4 linked regions of the Xenopus tropicalis genome follow. The protein of the gene in region 3 interacts with the protein of the main gene of each other region in a pairwise test. Links are inferred from orthologs where the notes say so. Each region holds a gene or a part of one and is shown on either strand. Other genes may lie near its edges.

Region 1 (5,324 bases), on a different chromosome or scaffold from region 3:
ATCATTAACACCCAAAGAATGAACAGCATCTGTCAAGTCTTCATCAGTTGTCCACTGCACAAAGAAAGGAAAATGATGAGACACATTACACCTACAGAAATAAACCATTCTATGCAAAATCATTTATAGAATAGAAATAAATCATGCATAAAAATGCAGCTACTGTATATGCAGAAATGTCAAAAACCACACAAGATAAAATTTAACAATTGTACTTTTCTCACATTTTCCAAGATAAGAAATAATGATGTTCTATAAAGAATACGGAATTTTTTAAAGTGTGCAGGCAGATTTTGCCCCAAACACTTGAGTTCATATATTAATGTAGTTTATATGAAACTGTCAATCAGATTCAACAAAGATATAGGACACACTGTTGAAGTGTAGATAAAGGCAGATATATGCCTTTCACAGGAATAAAATAAATGCAGACAGCATATTTTTAGTGGTGGTTGTTTTCTTGTGCAGTGGTCAAAACACCTTGTGCAGCATGAAATCAACATAAACTACACAATAGGAGCAGAAAAATGTTATTGTTATGCCTTTACTTACCCATGTTAGATTTCCAATGTAGAGTGCTATTCGTTTACCAGTATAGGTATACACAATATTAGGAACAGATCCTTTCACTACATCATCTCCAACAGAAGTTGCTAGATTATCCATATAGTCGCGGTCCTCAGGAGCATCTCCATTGTTTGCAGATGGTGAGATGACATCCTCATAGAGTTCAATTTGCTCATGTGCACCATATTCTGCTTCCTTTAATACAAACAAAAAATATGAATGTTCATACCTCTTCAAGCAGCTGCCTGTTGCCTGGATCAGGGCCTTAATTATTATTATTAATTTACAAATTTTAACATATTGATGCATTCTCCACTTTATTATACATGTCAATTTTTAAAGAATACATTGTTCACCTAATGATTCTTTCAAAGGCAAATCAATTACTGGTTTTAGATAAATATGTATGGACTAGGAATGCACTTACAAGCAAAGATGTTTTGCTGTGTTGTTCAGATAAACACAACAATTCTTAATGGAACATTTGGTTTTTTGCCTGAAAAAAAGGACATTGGCAATGCGAGTGATCTCCATAATTTGCACCTTTGGATATTTGTGACTATAGCAATGGGGACAAAAACATAAAATCCCCCCTCAACAACTAAAGTGTAAAGGAAACTTTGTTGTATAATAATCGGCACATGCATGGTGGGAGACACAGCAACCAATATCAGTAAATGCCTTAAGATATTGGTTGCCTTGTCAATCGCGCAGGACTGAAAATTTTGATTGGGTGCCTTATCATCGGAACTTTAAAGGGACAGTAACACCAAAAAATGAAAGTGTATAAAAGTAATTACTATATAATGTAATGCTGTTCAATCAGCCATTAACCGTTCAGGGCTGAAACAGCAAATAAGGCTGCCGATTCAGCCCTGAAGGCAGATTTTGCTCAGGCGCCTTCTATGGCGCTCGATCAAAATCTTTTAACCTGGCCGATCGGCGCGTCGACCAATATCAGCAGCCTCCTGCGATATCGGTCGACTCGCTGACTTACCATACACGCACCGAATATCGTACAAAACGAGGTTTCGTACGATATTATCGGTGCATGTATGGCCAGCTTTAGAGGCTACCAGATTAGCCATTTACTGCCCATATTTGGCACCCCCAGAAACCTTTTTATGCTTGTGTTGCTCCCTGACATTTTACATTTGAATGTGGCTCACGGGTAAAAAAGGTTGGGGACCCCTGTTCTACAGCATTTAAAATATTTTCTGATGCTTTGACAGTCACAAGAGGCAGTTCCATGTGTAACACAGTTCTGTATATGCCTCTGCACTAACACCCCAACATTGCAAAAATCCAAGGAGGTTTGGAAGTCTACAAAGATAAGAAAACAACAGCTACATTATTTCTGACAGCTTATTTTACAAGCATCTGAATATTGTTTCAGTCCTCAACCAAAAAAAAGGGGAACACATTTTAATTTAAGAAATTGATATTTGATTATTTCCTCCACCAGCCCCCCCCCCCTGTATAACAAGAATCTTTCAATACCTTGCTGCTCTAAAAAAGAAACAAATGTTGATTTTATCCCTGTGGTACAGAAAATGTGTTTTAATGAATAATATAGAACATAACTAGGGTAAATTTCCATGAAAAATAAAAGCATTAGATCTAATATAAATAGTAATGGATTTGCCAATACTTTTTTGTGCTTTAAATAGTCAATTAGCTGAAATTCACTTCTAATTTAAATATGGAGAAAGTCTGACGTATATCAGCAATGGGGCCACTACTGCCTATACCAGATATTGACATCCTGCATTCATTTGCTAATCTAGAGATGGTGTATTTATAGCTGAAGGATATTAAAGATACCAGTATAAACCTGTTATTAAAGGTTGAACAAACCACATTTTCAGTTTTTTTTCCCTTCAACCATTGGCATTTAATTTTTTATCCATTATGTGAAACTGCAACTGTATAGTTCTACATTTACAAGTAAATGATTGCTGTGCTGTCTCTCTCAATTCAAGACAGATAGGAAAAGTACACCGTTTTATGATATTAGAAAAGTGTACATTTTTCTATAAAGAATAGTTTGGAAAATGACAGCAGATGCATTTTATTACATTATGTATGGTACCTATTTTCTTGTACCCCCCAAAATAAAGACAGTGGTACCTAGCAGCTGCCGGCGAGATGCTCCAGGGCCCCATGTATGTTACAGCCTATTATATTCTCTATTTCGACCAATGGATAAGTAGATTTATTTGGGGGGGGGGGGGGAAGCAATTATGATAACAGTTGTGAAGGTTTTTCATTAGTCTTTCCAAACAACCCTAGTAGCTTAGAACAATTTTTTAAAATAGAGTGGTATTTGAAGGGGTGAACAATTGTTGTAGTCCGTAAAAGCTCGTCTTCCCACAGTCTCTAAGAAAAAGAAAATCCCAACAACTACTGTTTTAGTCTAGAGCCCCCGTAACCCACACATAACTAATCCAGCAGGGCTCTGGGCAATGGCACTAGACTGAAGTTCCGTGGAACTCAAGGCCCCGGCACACGCGGCCTACACAAAGAAAGTGCAGAAGGCTGTGTGGCCGGGTTCGGCTTGCCCGCCTCTGTACAAATTTTGCGAATCTCCAGGGTAAAAGAAATGCTTTAAAGACTTGATAGCATACATAGGCCTACAAATAATAACAAAACAAACAGGCGCTTCTTTTATCTGCGAGAAGTCGGGAGGCGGCCCAAGCACACACAGACGACTCGCACCAGCATGACAACCACTTGCTGCACCCATATTTCCCACTCGCGATACCTGATTAAATTCCTCGCCCACATCTGCGTAGATATCGATATGATCCACTCCGTCCGCCATCTTCCGCCTGGAGCGGCAGCGCTAGGCAGTCACGGAGGCGGTGCGAGCTGGGAGGAGTGGGTCGGGAGGGGGAAGGCGGGAACGGGCGCGTCACTTCCTCTACTGGATACTGAACCAGCTAGTTGCGCGCGTTTTTTTTCACATAGTATAATTTGTATTGTACAAACTCGTTGGAACGCGAACAATGAGCAGCAGCATTAGAAAGATATGGCTGAAGGTGAATAGAAACTTGCCCCAAGTCAAATTCATATTCTCGTCAGAACACCGTGTTATGAAGATATATGAAAAACATTTTTTAAAGGTTTTTATTATTTTCTTTACAAACAGAAACATAAAACCAGCACAATAGCATATACAATAATTAGTGCTATGACCATGGAGAAAGTATACAGTAGCAGGGTCAGCTAGATACAGTCGGTGTGGCCTAAGTAGTTTGGATAAGGCCTGTGATTTGGGGGAGACCTTTGGTGTAAAAGTCTCAGGGTTATACTGTGGGACTCGCTTCTGGTTGAGCTTCTTACAGTTTTTGAGAGGATTGTCTAGTTCAAAAGGTCTCTCTAGAAATCCAGTTGCATCTAAGTGATGCCATAACCTTGCTTTGGTGTCATAATCCCACTGACATAATTGTGCCCACTTCTGATGTCATCATGCCCATGTCAAACATCACTGCCCCGCCCCCTTTGTTGAGGTTTAGCCTCTGACAAAGGTGGCAACCTTAGTAGGCATTGTCTGTATAGACGCCATATTCTCTAGAATTTGCTAGGGCAACCCCTGGCAAGGTATGTTAGTTTAATAAGTGGGAGTCTAGTGTTAACAAGTTGTTTCCATTGCTGGAGGTCAGGGGGGTGGGGGCTCATCCATTTCATTGCCAACTTTAAAACAAATGGACAGATACAGCAAATGGTGTCTATACAGACAATGCCTACTAAGGTTGCCACCTTTGTCAGAGGCTAAACTGCAACAAAGGGGGTGGGGCAGTGATGTTGGACATGGGCATGATGACATCAGAAGTGGGCAAAATTATGTCAGTGGGATTATGACACCAAAGCAAGGTTATGGCATCACTTAGATGCAATTGGATTTCTAGAAAGACCTTTTGAACTAGACAGCCCTCTCAAAAACTGTTCAAAACCACATGGAAGGCAACCCTAACTATATTCTGCCCAATGAGTAAATTCAATCCTAATAATAAAATACTAATTCATTTATTTGTTTGTTTCTGTAATAATAAATTAAAAGAGAAGAAAAGGTAAAAACTAAGTAAGCTTTATCAGGTAGGTCTATGTAAATACAGCCATAAGCACTCACGGAAACGCTGCACTGAGTCCTCTATAAAAAGATACAGGATTTCTTGTCTCTTTGATTTCCTGTGCCACAGACACGCAGCTCTCTCCTCTCTCCCCTCTCCTGCTCCCCCCTCCCTCAAGAATGCTAAGAACTCCCTCCCCCCCTTAGGAATGTGTGATCTGAGCCAATCAGCAGAAAGCTTCCTCATAGTCTTACACACTGCATATGTACACCGGTCTTGGTCTTGGTGCAGGAGCGAGGCATTATGGGAATCTTCTTTGTTTAAATTTAAAATGCTGCTATTCTTATACTATCCGTACAAGTGTCCCCTTGTACAGTTAAAAACCGTGGGATTAATATTCAAGATTAGAAAAAGTGAAAGGAGCCACCAACAGCCAATCAGATGTGTCCGAATGTGTTTTTTCGTAATGATCGTTATTTTTGCAACAATTTTTTTTGCAACAAATTCGTATGGTCACGTCGAGTACGAAAGTTTCGGATTCATTCAAGCTTCGGTATCGTGACTTTCCTTGGGCCATGTTGGAGCTGCAGAGTGCCATTGAGTCCTATGGGAGGCTTCCAAAATCATGCACAGAAGGATTAAAGTCGGAAAGGTTTTCCCGCCGTTTACAATCGTTCAATACGA
Region 2 (4,438 bases), on a different chromosome or scaffold from region 3:
GACTAATTAAATTTCCCCCATATCATCATTCTCATACATCTGTAATGGCCATACAGGATTCACATAGAATTCCCCCATATCTGACCTATACCATTTACAAATAAATTGTCCTTACCATTTTTGATAATTACTCATAAGCCCTGATGATGATTCGTTTACTAATTTCCCCTCCCATCCCCTCGTCAGCCATCAGTGTACTGCGCTCTCGGCTCCAACAACTGACACACTCCCTGAGACAAATACTTCAACACACACTTCAAGCACTGCATAAACGGCCCCCCACCCTCACTAAATACGTCCCCAGCCCTCAGCCTGGCATAAAGTACGCCCCACCCCTCACCGCTAAGTACCCCCTCAATAAACTGCCCCCAAGCCCTTCACCTGCCAAAATACTGCCCCTCAGGCCCTCTAAATACGCCCCCCAGCCCCTTCAGCCTGGCCGATAAACGTGCCCCCAGCCCCTTCAGCCTCCGATAAATACTGGGCCCCCAGCCCCTTCAACCGCCATAAATACGTGGGCCCCCACCCCTTCAGCCTTCTATAAATACTCCCCCCACCCCTTCCCTGGCAAAAGGTACGTGGCCCCCCCTTCGACCTGACCAAAACTGCCCCTCACCCGTCCAAAATACGCCCCCAGCCCTCACCTCTAAATACTCCCCTAGCCTCCAAATACGTGGCACCCCCCATCCCCTCAGCCTGGCCGATAAAGGTACGTGCCCCCAGCCCCTTCAGCCTGCCGATAAAGTACTGCGCCCCTCAGCTGCATAAAACAGTGGCCCCCCCAGCCCTTCAGCCTGGCCGATAAAGGTACGTGGGGCCCCCACCCCTTCAGCCTGGCCGATAAAGGTACGTGGGGCCCCTTCAGCCTGGCCGATAAAGGTACATCCCCCACCCCTTCAATAAGTACTGCCCCCACCCTTCCCTTATAAAACTGCCCCCACCCCTTCACCTTCAAAATATCCCCCCCCCTTCCTCATAAAGGTCCCTTCACCTGGGGCCCCCCAGGCCCTTCACTGGCATAAAGGTACTGCCCCAGGCCGGCGCCCCCAATTCCCTCCATAAAGGTACCCCTCAGCCGCCGATTCACCCCTCACCTCCACCCCAGCCCTTCCCGCCATAAAACTGCCCCCCCTCACACCTCCCATAAAGTTGGGACAGCCCCCCAGCCCTCACCATAAAGTACTCCCCCCCCTCAGCCGGCCGATAAAGTACCCCCCACCCCCAGGCCGCCATAAAACGCCGCCCCTGCACTGCCAAAAGGTACGTGGGCCCCTCACCTGCCGATAAATACTCCCCTTCACCTCAAAATACCCCCTTCAGCCTGGCAAAAGTAGGCCCACTCGATAAATGCCCCCACACCTTCAGCTCTGCCGAATACGTGGCCCCGCACCCAGAAAACGCCCCAACCGTCCTCGAAAAGCTCCGGTGCGCACACCGGCGTACCCCGCAAAAGACCCCCCACGCTCGCCGTCGAGGCCATCATCCCCTACAGCTGCACACAATAGCTGGCGCACGGCCATACCACATAGTGCCCCCGCCCGGGCCCCCACCACAGCCCCCCTCCTGATACCACGTCGGCCCAACAGCCAACCATCCTAATGCCCCAGCACGACCCAAAGCGTGTCCGAACAGCAGAACACAGGAGGCCCAATACAAGAAAATAACCCCCCCAACCAAAACATAAACCACCGAAAACCACAAGAACAACTAGGCGGACCCACCCCCCCGCCCCCTACAATAAGGTTGCAAGACAACGTACCCCACCCCACATATTTTAAATAGCGCGGACGTTTCCCCGGGGCCGCACAACCCGCCCACACACTCCCGCCGGCCCAATAACGAAGGCCGAAACGGGCCGCCACGTCCTTCGAGGGTCCCTTCGGGAAGGTGACGCACCAGGTCCGGGCGGCCATCGAGACCAAGCGACTCTCCAAAGACTACAAGAGCGCCAAACTCTTCTACATCCTCCGGCCGCTCGACCTCAACGAGATCCCGGAAATCGAGGTGGGCGGCGCCTTAATTGGATCCCTTAGGGGGCGGGGCACAGTGGATGGATTTAGTGCCCTCCCCTTTCAAGGGAGGAGCTGCATAATGAATGCCCCCCACTTCTGTGCTGCAGGGTCAGACTGGGCCAGGGGGTCCCCTAAGGGCTCTGCACCCCCCAGTCCAACCCTGTGCATTGGGTACTATGGGTACCCCCTAATTTAGTAGCAGAGCCCATTCCTAAATAAAGGGGCTAGTGTTTTAAAGGGGAAGTTCACCTTCAAGTCAGCTTTTAGTTCGTCATAGAATGACCAATTATAAGCAACTTTTCAATTGGTCTTCATTATTTATTTGTTATACTATTTTCATTATTTCTTCTTCCGACCCTTTCTAGCTTTCAAATGGGGGTCACTGACCCCGGCAGCCAAACCCTATTGCTCTGTGAGGCTCCAGTTTTATTGTTACTTTTTATTCCTTATCTTTCTATTCAGCCCCTCCCCCTATTCATATACCAGTCTCTCATTCAAACCGCTGCCTGGTTGCTAAGGTAATTGGAGCCCTAGCAACAGGATAACTGACCCCGGCAGCCAAACCCTATTGCTCTGTGAGGCTCCAGTTTTATTGTTATTGTTACTTTTTATTCCTTATCTTTCTATTCAGCCCCTCCCGTATTCATATACCCGCCTCCCAATCAAACAGCTCCCTGGTTGCTAAGGTCATTTGAGCCCTAGCAACAGGATAACTGACCCCGGCAGCCAAACCCTATTGCTCTGTGAGGCTCCAGTTTTATTGTTAATGTTACTTTTTATTCCTTATCTTTCTATTCAAACCACTCCCTGGTTGCTAAGGTAATTTGGACCCTAGCAACCAGATAGCTGCTGAAACTCCAAACTGGAGAGCTGCAGAAAAACTAAAAAAATGAACACCAATTGCAATTGAACATCCCCTTTAATGTTGGTGGCGGCCATGTTGGTGCCCATAGCCCTCCCCTTCGTTGCTAAACCGGTTTCTCTTCCAGCAACGGAACTGCGCGTCGGCGACTAAGAAGTTCAACTACCTCCTGGTGAAGTCCGGGCAGGTCCTACTGGCGGCCAGCTCCGACCTGCGCGGCTACGTGGTGGGACAGGCCATACAGATCCACACGGAACTGGAGAACAAGTCCGGCCGCGACACCGGCTCCATCGTGGCGGCTCTGGTCCAGGTAAAGGGGGCGGGGCTTAGGGGTAGAAACTAAAACTAAATGTTTTGGGGAATTTTTTTTTTTTTTCTTACCCGTCTTTCTCTGCTGTTAGAAAATCGCCTACAAGTCGAAGCGGGTGGTGTACGACCTCCGGACCATCGCGGAGGTGGAAGGGGCCCCGGTGAAGGCTTGGAAGCGGGCGGTGTGGGACGAGCAGATCCTGGTTCCGGCTCTTCCGCAGTCCATTCTGCAGGGGTGCAACCTCATCCATATTGACTACTACATCCAGGTAACGTGGCGCTGCCCTACTGCTACTAAACAGAGAGGATTCTGGGTAAAGTTCCCCCCAATATTTCACTGTCGGCTTCAGGTACATCTGTTTCCTGAGACTGCCTGTCTCTCCTTGCAGTAACCATGGTGATGTTCTAGCTAGGAAGGAATGTATTGATCGTCTAGCAATGACTCACTGTGTGCACAGACATTACTGGCGATTGCCAATAACTTGTCTCAATCCTATAGCGAAAAGTTTATACATATGGGTAGGAGGTGCCATAGTGTTTCCCTTAGACAGTACAGTATGGGGGTACAGCTTATTGTGTGCCCAGAACATTCCCTCTCTGTATATTTGTATTTATACATATGGGTAGGGGGTGCCATAGTGTTTCCCTTAGACAGTACAGTATGGGGGTACAGCTTATTGTGTGCCCAGAACATTCCTTCTCTGTATATTTGTATTTATACATATGGGTAGGGGGTGCCATAGTGTTTCCCTTAGACAGTACAGTATGGGGGTACAGCTTACTGTGTGCCCAGAACATTCCCTCTCTGTATATTTGTATTTATACATATGGGTAGGGGGTGCCATAGTGTTTCCCTTAGACAGTACAGTATGGGGGTACAGCTTATTGTGTGCCCAGAACATCCCTTCTCTGTATATTTGTATTTATACATATGGGTAGGGGGTGCCATAGTGTTTCCCTTAGACAGTACAGTATGGGGGTACAGCTTATTGTGTGCCCAGAACATTCCTTCTCTGTATATTTGTATTTATACATATGGGTAGGGGGTGCCATAGTGTTTCCCTTAGACAGTACAGTATGGGGGTACAGCTTATTGTGTGCCCAGAACATTCCCTCTCTGTATATTTGTATTTATACATATGGGTGGGAGCTGCCATAGTGTCTATAAATGGAGTTAAGTCTCCCCATTTCCCCACAGGTGACAGTGAAGAATCCCGAGGTGTCGGTCACGTTACCGATATATATTGGGAACGTT
Region 3 (5,472 bases):
TTAGGTGAAAACTACTACAGGTTGGTGCATTATTTTAAGAAGATGATAGCCAGCGTGGGGTAAGGAACATACTTTTCTAATCCCATCCTCTAAATGCAACACTCTCCACAGCCCCTTTAGCACACATGCCATATGAGGCAAAGGCTTAGCAACAAAATATGCCGGTTTGTTTCAAAAGCGTTGAATATGTTGCACTATAGCACAGTTGATTCCCTCACACAAAAATCTGGAGCTAATAAAAATGACACCCCCTCTTGTTGTGATGTGCAGGTTGACCTGAAACATGTGGGGTCTGTTTTTGCTTATAGCCCACAATCCCTTATCAATAGTACTGGTTGTTTATCATTAAAGTGATACTGACACCAGAAATTAAATCTTTTTTTACATCTATCATTCATTATCTTAAAAGTATTTGCCCAATACTTTTACATTACATTACCTACTATCTGATCCCCCATGTTCCTCTGTGAGGGGACTGCCAAGTAACAGTTACTTAGGGCCGTGGTAGACGGGGAGATTAGTTGCCCGTGACAAATCTCCCTTGTTGCGGGCGACTAATCTCTCTGATATGCCATCATACAGGCTTGAATGTAAATCGCCAGTGGTATGGCATATGCGGCGTTGCGATTTCCGAAAACTGCGGAAGTTGCCTTGAGAGGAAACTTGTGCGATTTCGGGAAATCGCGTCGCCGCATATGCCATACCACTGGCGATTTACATTCAAGCCGGTGGGATGGCATATCGGGGTGATTAGTCGCCCGCAACAAGGGAGATTTGTCACGCGGCGACTAATCTTCCCGTCTGTCACAGCCCTTAGCGCCAGTATCACTTTAAGGCTAATGGCACTTGGGGTAGTGCTGGAATGGCAAATATTCTGGCAAAACCCGTAGTGACTGCTGTGAATTGCATAGACCGGTGCTTTATTTGAGGTTGTTAGAGGACTGTCTCAGCCTCAGTTTATTTGTAATGCCAAGACTTATTTAGATCTTAGTACAGACAACATGGTGTGTTTTGACTACTACCTGTTAGGGTGAAGACACACAGAGCTACTTAGTAGCAGCTACTTGTCACAGCTACTAAACGCCAGAAAATCCCCTGCCACAGACAATACTGAGAATTGCCTCTGCTAAAACACATGTAGAGACAGTTATCAGTAAATGATCAGCATTGTCTATTTTTGCAGCTGTGACAAGTAGCTGCTACTAGTAGCTCCATGTGTCTTCACCCTAAGTGCCAGTGCCAAGTGGGGTGCTGGAGTCTTTACCCTTACTGCTTCTAATGGCAAGTGCATAGGGTTTGCAACTTTTAAAAATGATTTAACCTGCTGGGCTGGGGTGACAAGGGGGGTGGGGTGATGCTGTAAAGGCCCAGGGTGATAATATGAGCAGAAGAGAATTGGCATGTTGGGCAGAGGGCAGCTTCTGGTCTGAAAAGGGATGAACAATTAGGGTGGATCAGTGCAATGACACGCAATGGCACTGTTATACTGGTCCCAGCTTTAGCATGTGTTTTACCACTGGTAGAATAGCAACCCTGAAAGTGTCCCTGCTGATACACTTGGAGCAGTAAAAAGCCATAAACTAATGCTGCCTGAAACACAAAAAGTTGATTTAAACTTTAACAACAACTTTAACATGTCCCTCCTGGCCTAGTCTAAAGAGGAGCATCAAACTAAACTCATACAGATTAATGCGGGTTTAGCCAGAGAATTATATAGGTGACGTCACGCAAAGCTTGTCCCAATCCTGTCACGACATGGCCACGCCCCGTGTTATTGCTGGTAGGTGGGAGACACGTGACGTTTCCTGGGCGGGAGTTTGATGACGCGAGGGGGCGGAGTCCGGGGAAGCTCTGTGAGACGGCCGCAGTGGTGCCCGGAGCTGGCAGCGTGTGAATCGGACGGGAGCTCGGAAGGAGGAAGAGGCGGCCCGGGGAGGGGAGGGGAGGCCGAGGACGGGACATCCGCCCCGGTATGTTGGCAGCTGTGTCAGCTGGTTGGTGAAGTCGATAGGTTTCCCGCAGCAGTGTATGAGGGCATGTCGGTGCCACACACTGCTTGTTCTGCTCCTTGCCCCTAGGCTACTATTCCTTGTCTCCGCCTGGCATTAGCTACGGGCAATACCACTAGTGCTTTGCGCTGCTGTCGGTGATCCCATTCCCCGCTTTGCGTTTTTCTCTCAAGCCTTTCATTGTCGTGGTTTGTTGCGATCCGCTATTCTCCGGTCTCAGTACTCGCTCACATCTCTATGGCCTTAAGGGCCACCGGATATCTCGCTAGCTGTTTCCTTTCATCAGGGGCTTCTGGTTATTGTGTCACAGGTGGGCTAATGCTAGCCTGACTTCATTCATCATATGACTTGAACCCTGTACCCTCCTAGTGCCGCTGCCAAATCTGCCCATATCCATGTATAGTGTATAGCAGCAGCCTCCTTGCCAAGTGTATCCATGTATGTGCTACTTCTTTTGTGTCTTCCTTGTCTCCATGTGTAATGCTCACATTTAGCTTCACTCTCCTTGCCAAGTGTATCCATGTATTTCCCACCTCTGTTGTGTCTTCCTTGTCTCCATGTGTAATGCTCACATTTAGCTTCACTCTCCTTGCCAAGTGTATCCATGTATGTGCCACCTCTGTGGTGTCTTCCTTGTGTCTTTGTGCACTCTTCACATTTAGCTTCACCCTCCTTGCCAAGTGTATCCATGTATGTGCCACCTCTGTGGTGTCTTCCTTGTCTCCATGTGTAATGCCCACATTTAGCTTCACCCTCCTTGCCAAGTGTATCCATGTATGTGCCACCTCTGTGGTGTCTTCCTTGTCTCCATGTGTAATGCCCACATTTAGCTTCACCCTCCTTGCCAAGTGTATCCATGTATGTGCCACCTCTGTGGTGTCTTCCTTGTGTCTTTGTGCACTCTTCACATTTAGCTTCACCCTCCTTGCCAAGTGTATCCATGTATGTGCCACCTCTGTGGTGTCTTCCTTGTCTCCATGTGTAATGCCCACATTTAGCTTCACCCTCCTTGCCAAGTGTATCCATGTATGTGCCACCTCTGTGGTGTCTTCCTTTTGTCTTTGTGCACTCTTCACATTTAGCTTCACCCTCCTTGCCAAGTGTATCCATGTATGTGCCACCTCTGTGGTGTCTTCCTTGTCTCTATGTGTAATGCTCTCATTTAGCTTCACCCTCCTTGCCAAGTGTATCCATGTATGTGCCACCTCTGTGGTGTCTTCCTTGTCTCTATGTGTATTGCCCACATTTAGCTTCACTCTCCTTGCCAAGTGTATCCATGTATGTGCCACCTCTGGTGTCTTCCTTGTCTCTATGTGTAATGCCCACATTTAGCTTCACTCTCCTTGCCAAGTGTATCCATGTATGTGCCACCTCTGTGGTGTCTTCCTTGTCTCTATGTGTAATGCTCTCATTTAGCTTCACCCTCCTTGCCAAGTGTATCCATGTATGTGCCACCTCTGTGGTGTCTTCTTTGTGTCTTTGTGCACTCTTCACATTTAGCTGCAATCTCCTTGCCAAGTGTATCCATGTATGTGCCACCTCTGTGGTGTCTTTCTTGTCTCCATGTGTAATGCCCACATTTAGCTTCACCCTCCTTGCCAAGTGTATCCATGTATGTGCCACCTCTGTTTTGTCTTCCTTGTCTCCATGTGTAATGCTCACATTTAGCTTCACTCTCCTTGCCAAGTGTATCCATGTATTTCCCACCTCTGTGGTGTCTTTCTTGTCTCCATGTGTAATGCTCACATTTAGCTTCACCCTCCTTGCCATCTGTATCCATTTATGTGCCACCTCTGTGGTGTCTTCTCAGTGTCCATGTAATGTCCATATTGAGATTTTTCATGATTAAAACAATAGGCAAAAAAAGTATGTTCAGAAAACAACAATTAATAGAGGGTACTCCCTTATGCAAATATAGTAAAGGATGCAAAAGTAAAGACTCTTACCCAAATAGAGGCAAAAGTAAAGCAAACTACAAAAGGTCACTTTGCACTCCAAAACAAAGTATGTTCAGCACAAGCCCTGTGTATTGAGCTTGTGCTGTGCAAGGGGGGTATACTGCCACTCCACCTTTTTTGCCAACTCAGTGTTGTCTTGCGCCTGTGCACCTTTAGGGTGAAGACACACAGAGCTACTTAGTAGCAGCTACCCCTGCCATAGACAATACTGAGAATTGCCTCTGCTAAAACACATGTAGAGACAATTATCAGTAAATGATCAGCATTGTCCATTTTAGTAGCCATGACAAGTAGCTGCTACTACCGGTAGTAGGTCATTGTGTCTTCACCCTTAATTGCATTCTCTCTGCTTAGTCTACCCTTTTTTTGTCCAAGCACTCCCCGCCAGGTATGCCGTTGTCTTTTGTTTATCTTTTGTGAAATTTACTTTGGACCAAGTGCATCGTACTTTAGCTACCAGTGTTTCCCAACCATGTTGCTCCCCTAATCCCTTTGATATTGCTTCCAGTGGCCTCAAAGCAGGTGTTCATTTTTGAATTTCTTACTTGGAGGCACAAAGGCCATGTGTACTGCCACACAGAGCCAAATATGCCATTATTTGGCACCCCCTTGGAACTTTTTTCATGCTTGCGTTGCTGCCAACTCTTTTTATTTAAATGTTTTCTATAGGTAAAAAAGTTGGACACCTTTATTTCAAACTTTCCATAGGTGTTATTTCTATATCATTTCCATAAAGCTTGTCCAAGTTGTTCATTCTTGCCATACTACCCCCCCCCATTGTCAGATTATTGAATAAAATAAATAACGAAAAATATATAGTAGTACTTTGCCCTAGAAGTTGTATTAATGGTCACCAGCCTTCTCAGGGCCTTCAACAGGTTACTTAACCTAATATGACTTGTAAATGTGTGCCATGTCATGACAAATGTGTTTACTGATCATGTATCACTGTTATTTTGAAAGGAAGAAAGGTTATGTTGGTTGGTTGGTTCATTGTGGATAAAAATGTATTTAGTTTTGGCCATTTGTGCTGAAAATACTATTAAAAACCTTTGTCCCCAGTTGATTGAAACTTTAGTTTGGTAAATAAATGAACAGCCCATCCTCATACACTCCCACAAGGAGTCTTGGGAATACTGTCTGAAACTGGTCTTATTACTACATTCTAACAATGGCTAAACCCCTTTGTGGTAACTTATTCCAAACAGTCAGTGTATATGTCCTTATCAAGTAGGTTATATTGGATAACAAGGAGACAGTGGGCAAAGCATATGAAGAATACCAGAATTACTGAGTCCACCTAGAACAAAATATGCAAACTTACATATTTTTTTTCAGTATTTTTATGAGAGAGAGACATTGGAGACAGTGTCCCACAAGACAGAACAGAATTACATAGTGAATGACTGTTAAACATCTGTTACACTGTTTGTTGGAATGCCTGTGGCTGATCTGCCCTGTTCAATAAGCACTAGCCATCGCTTGTCAGTGCTCAAAAACAGCAC
Region 4 (4,823 bases), on a different chromosome or scaffold from region 3:
CTTGCAAAGTCAAAATGTGCCATGCTGATAGACTCATACCCCAAAAGACTGAGTGCTGTAATAAAATCAAAAGGTGATTCAACAAAGTATTAGTTTAAGGGTGTGCACACTTATGCAACTGCATTATTTTAGTTTTTTTGGAATTTTCAGTTTGTTTTTCAATTGAGTGGTACAGTTTATAGGTCACATCAAAGGTGGAAAAAGTTCTGAAATGATTTATATTTGTCTCATTTTTGTACAGCACAGGAACCTGACATTTTACCAGGGGTTTGTAGACTTTTTATATGCACTGTAGCTGCCTGCTGAGCTCAGGGATGGAACTAGCAGTAGGCACAACTATAGGTGACCGCTGGGCTGGCCTCCCAACCTTTAGTTAGTACTTAATTTTTAACGTACAGTAAGTCAGTTATAGAATAATTGTGTTTTGTTAATTTAAAAGATCTTTCCTTGTCCCTCTAATTACAGGTGGAAATGAATGAAGGCAAAGTCTGCGTGTGCTGTGAAGAAATCTATGCCAACAAGTGCCTTGAAAGAGAGAACTTTCTAAAGCTTTTCCCAGTTCAGTCCTGTAATGCCGTTCATCTCTTACTCAAGGTAGTAAAGAAAACTCACAGTGACGAGCTTTTATTTTACACCTGAATTGATTAACACCTCCCCCTCAATAATATGGGAACACACAGGGAATTGATCTCTAACACTCTTTATTAACCTCTACATTGTTGGGAGTGGAAGGATCTGAAAGCTAATTTCTAATTTCAGTTCATAATTCATAGCATTTTCTCATTACAACTTTATTTATGATTTTAACATTGCATAGCCATAGTCCCTGCATTCTTTCCCTAGATATAGTTTGTTGCCATCTTATTGCATCTGGTCAAGGTGACCTTTCAGTTACAAGAAACAAAAGAGCTGATGCATGTTCTTCTTTCCTGGCACTCAAAAGGCTTATTCGAATTTCGCTTATATCAACAATAGGTTATGCTGACCTGCTTATTAAAACAAATGCAGCTGGTAATGAATCAAATCACAATAACTTTTGGTTTTTAGTAAATATTAATTTAGTATTAGCATTATATAACCCATAATATTAAATAATGTTTTTTGTGTATTATTTTCTCACTAGATGGGGAAGAAATGTTAGTGAATTATTGTCCCAGAATTCTCTTGAATTTTAACAAAAGGCTGGACCTTTCCAATACCTGAGGGCTTGTTTATGAAAGCAAGCAAATGCAAAACTTTTTCCTAATGAATCCTTGTATCTGTAAATGCTTGTGCAACTTATGACTAATGTCATTGTTCCAGTCCAGCCTGCTTTGATAAATGCCAAGTAGTATAGGCAGACATGTCAGCTTTCCCTGATTTAACCCCTCACCCAGTCACCTACAGTAACAAACCACCCACTCACAAAGTCACTCACTGTCAGTAGTTTGCACTAGAATCTCAACTTCCTTTGTGTGTTACGTCTGCACATACAATAAAATTATATATATATATGTGAGCCTGCAGTAGCATGTTGCATTGGCCTGACAGCTTTCTGCAATCTCCATGCAAGTCCTCAGTTTTTATTAGTTATGAGATTGTATTTATAAATGGGATTTTGTTGGAGCTATTTGGGATTAGTTCCCAGAATTCTGTGTGTTTATTTGCATATGTATGAGAGGGTTTCCTCACCCCTTTTGATTTATCTGTGGATCCACACCCCTAGCTCTTCTTAAACTGATCAGAGACCCCTGCAATACACTGATGAGCCCTAAGAAGGGTGAAACCAGTCTGTAGTTGGGAATCTGATCAGCTATTATCCTGGTTTCTTCTTTTGAAACCTAGTGGGTGAGCTTTAGCCTATAGCAGTGCTGTCCAACTGGCCCGAAGCCCCATCTGTGTGGCACCCCACCTGTCTGGCTGCTGTCGTTGCTTACCTTTATGTAAGCTTTAAGTGGTTTTAGTATTGGCCTAAAGGATAAACCAATGTAAATGGGATTTGGAGCTCTTTGGGATTAGTTCCCAGAATTCTTTGTGTTTAAGTAGATTTTAGCAAATGGATTTGCAAAGAATGTTGAAAGAGGTAGTTTAAGCCATTTCCAGAGTCTGCACAAGGTATTCAAAACAAATGTTTTACTTTCAAAATTTTCCATTATATATCTACTCCTATTATGCCAAACATTGTTTATGCCATCAATGTTTTAGCTAAAAGCAAACTATTAAGTGTAAGAACTATTATATTCTATCCCTAGAAAGTCTTCTTCGCTCTGTGTGCTCTGAATGCCCTCACTACCACTGTGTGCCTGGTCGCTGCTGCCCTGCGCTACCTGCAGCTCCTCACAACTAGAAGGCCCTGCACAGTAAGTGAGTGTATAGTGCATAAGAAGGCAATTTCTTAATTGCCTGTTTGGAGGATACAATACATAAAAGATGACACTTGCCTATGATATGTTTTAAATATTTTATGCATTATTATTACTAGCAACAGAAATGGGACATTGCAATTACAAAATCATGGTTTTGCCTTAATGGTCTATGATCACAGTTTTTATATATTCTGATTTAAATTGCAATGTTTTTTTAAACTCTAGCCTTCAGGATTTTTATATTAGAAATGTAGTAAAGATGTATTTCATTGTATTTGACTAGGATGAGTCGCAAATATCAGCTGAGGAAGGAGAGGAACAAGAGCGGGTTCCAGACCCTGATGATTTTGTTGCTCCTGCACCACCTCCATCTTATTTCTCTACATTTTATTCCTGCACCCCCCGAATAAATCAGAGGTAAAACAGTATTCTTTTGTGCAATAGTTCACTTTTGGAGTTCAGAAGGGCCCCTTGTAGCACCTGGAGAATGCACTGAATGCAAATAAACTTAAATGTTACTATCATCAAACTGTTGTAAGTAGCATAGTGTTCCTTTAAAGGAGAACTACAGTTTAACAAAGTAGACTAGAAATGGTGCACATTTTGTGTTGGGGTTCTGTATCAGTTCAAAATGACTACATCCATTTGGCAAGGAAAATTTGCTACTCTGGAAATGCCCCCAGTAGCTCCCCATCTTCTTCTCTGCTGATTCACTGCACATGCTCTGTGCTGCTGTCAGTTACTGAGTTTAGGGACCCACTCACAATACACTGTGTATATAGAATATAAAAGTCACAATGAAAGGCTGAAAAGTAATTAATTCAGATTCACAGTACAAAGCAGCTCAGAAATCAGAATGAGAATCAGCCCTGTGGCATCAGCTTCTATAACAGGGGAATCTCATTTTCTGCTTGATAATTTGCAACAACCCCTAAGCTCAGTTTACCAACTGCTTCCCAGACCACACTGAGCATGTGAGTGTCACTTCAAACAAAATACAAATAGTGTCCCTCTGCACTCAACTTTAAATGCCTGAATCATTACTGTTATAGGGATGCTGAAACTTTGGACTGGTACAGTAAGTTTAGCATGTAAAATATGGCATTTCTACCAATTCTTGTTTTTAGGGTTTAGTTCTCCTTTAAAAGCATTACTAGAAAAGCAACTAGTCTTTTTATATTTCAGTTACCATGTTACCATGACAGTTATATGAATAATTTATCAATATTTATATTCTTTTGGGTTTTTTTGTTTTGTTTTGTTATAGTAATCCAAGGTTACCCTAGGCTGAGTTCTTTGTAAAAACTATATCTCAGTTGAGAGTTTAAATACCTGTCTTTTTTTTTTCAAGAATGTCCTCATTCCATTGTACGCAGCAAAAATTTAATGACCCATAATCCATCACTAACTTTGTTCGACATCACTTTTCAAACAGTTTGCCATGTCTTGATAGTTAATGCCTTAAAACCTTTTAGCTAGCTGAATTTATAGCACTGCATGTTTTCTATAGCTGAGGCCCAATCAACAGAAATACCAGGCTATAAGCCCATAAAGTAAATATTTTGTACGTGTGTTACCCACAACTCCGAGCAAGTTAAATCCAGCTTTCTCTGGCTCTGCTGTTGAAATATTTCTTTTCCTCTAGCCATTCGCTTGTAATTGACCTTATTCTCTTACAGAAGCTCTCTTAGGCTTGTTACTGGAATTTGGTAGTATACTAATTTACCTTTATAACATGAAAGGCATTGAATATACGTTTGCCTTTTATTTTAAGACAACAGAGATTGAGCCCAATCAGTCAAGCGAGATGCATGATCTGCAATATGAAACTCATTGACGTGTGTTAAGCTTTTGTTTTTTTGCTTTTCATTCAAGAACGTACAAGTCAGGTTAGTCAAATTGGAGGCTCATGGTCTGGATGTTCCCTATCACTGGATTGTTTGTAACAGTTCACATCCTGCCCCAAGACACTATATTTGTCAACAGATGATGGCAGCATGGTGGCACAATACATAACACTGTAGCTGGGGACCTATTTGCATTGTGCATGGGGGCACAAGTGCAAGAGTTTGCTAATTTATTAAGCACTTGAGCCTAATAAAAATTTTGGCCGCTCAGTGAAGAATGCAGCATCAGAATGTGCAGCTCAGCCCTATCCTTACCACCTGTCTTTGGGAAGGCAGTAAGGACAGGGCCCCAAAGCGGACTGTGCATCCTGCTACTCCTACCTGGCACCTCAGAATAATGTGCAAAGTAGGGGCAGATAGGGGGTGGGAGGGCAGGATGCCTACATGCCTCTCCTGCCCCCCCCCTCACTAATACAGCACTGACTAAGAAAGTTAGCGTTGTTTTAGCAAAGAGAACCGCTGGTCTTTACTCACACCCCAATGCAGCATACAAAGTGCATAATAATGAATGATTGCGCCCATTTTTTGCACTTTATATGCTGCCTTCTGGTTTACAAATGAGACATTGTAT

What was found.
Region 1: the proteins of wwp1 (region 3) and cpsf6 interact in binary tests that used the Homo sapiens proteins (3 or more experiments, as listed by UniProt). The link is inferred for Xenopus tropicalis from reciprocal best matches to the Homo sapiens genes WWP1 and CPSF6.
Region 2: the proteins of wwp1 (region 3) and arrdc1 interact in binary tests that used the Homo sapiens proteins (3 or more experiments, as listed by UniProt). The link is inferred for Xenopus tropicalis from reciprocal best matches to the Homo sapiens genes WWP1 and ARRDC1.
Region 4: the proteins of wwp1 (region 3) and fam189a2 interact in binary tests that used the Homo sapiens proteins (3 or more experiments, as listed by UniProt). The link is inferred for Xenopus tropicalis from reciprocal best matches to the Homo sapiens genes WWP1 and ENTREP1.

The regions. Positions count from the first base shown.
Region 1 is NC_030679.2:58,921,279-58,926,602, forward strand, and holds the start of cpsf6 (cleavage and polyadenylation specificity factor subunit 6), read right to left. Parts: upstream 3,510-5,324; 5' UTR 3,392-3,509; coding exon 3,332-3,391; intron 763-3,331; coding exon 553-762; intron 55-552; coding exon 1-54. UniProt on the Homo sapiens protein: Component of the cleavage factor Im (CFIm) complex that functions as an activator of the pre-mRNA 3'-end cleavage and polyadenylation processing required for the maturation of pre-mRNA into functional mRNAs.
Region 2 is NC_030684.2:4,210,708-4,215,145, forward strand, and holds part of arrdc1 (arrestin domain-containing protein 1), read left to right. Parts: intron 1-186; coding exon 187-322; intron 323-1,320; coding exon 1,321-1,425; intron 1,426-1,844; coding exon 1,845-2,004; intron 2,005-3,001; coding exon 3,002-3,184; intron 3,185-3,275; coding exon 3,276-3,452; intron 3,453-4,381; coding exon 4,382-4,438. UniProt on the Homo sapiens protein: Functions as an adapter recruiting ubiquitin-protein ligases to their specific substrates. Through an ubiquitination-dependent mechanism plays for instance a role in the incorporation of SLC11A2 into extracellular vesicles.
Region 3 is NC_030682.2:125,462,225-125,467,696, forward strand, and holds the start of wwp1 (NEDD4-like E3 ubiquitin-protein ligase WWP1), read left to right. Parts: upstream 1-1,890; 5' UTR 1,891-1,970; intron 1,971-5,472. UniProt on the Homo sapiens protein: E3 ubiquitin-protein ligase which accepts ubiquitin from an E2 ubiquitin-conjugating enzyme in the form of a thioester and then directly transfers the ubiquitin to targeted substrates.
Region 4 is NC_030677.2:129,486,195-129,491,017, forward strand, and holds part of fam189a2 (protein FAM189A2), read left to right. Parts: intron 1-465; coding exon 466-594; intron 595-2,231; coding exon 2,232-2,339; intron 2,340-2,628; coding exon 2,629-2,762; intron 2,763-4,823. UniProt on the Homo sapiens protein: Functions as an activator of the E3 ubiquitin protein ligase ITCH in the ubiquitination of the CXCL12-activated CXCR4 receptor. Thereby, triggers CXCR4 endocytosis and desensitization, negatively regulating the CXCL12/CXCR4 signaling pathway.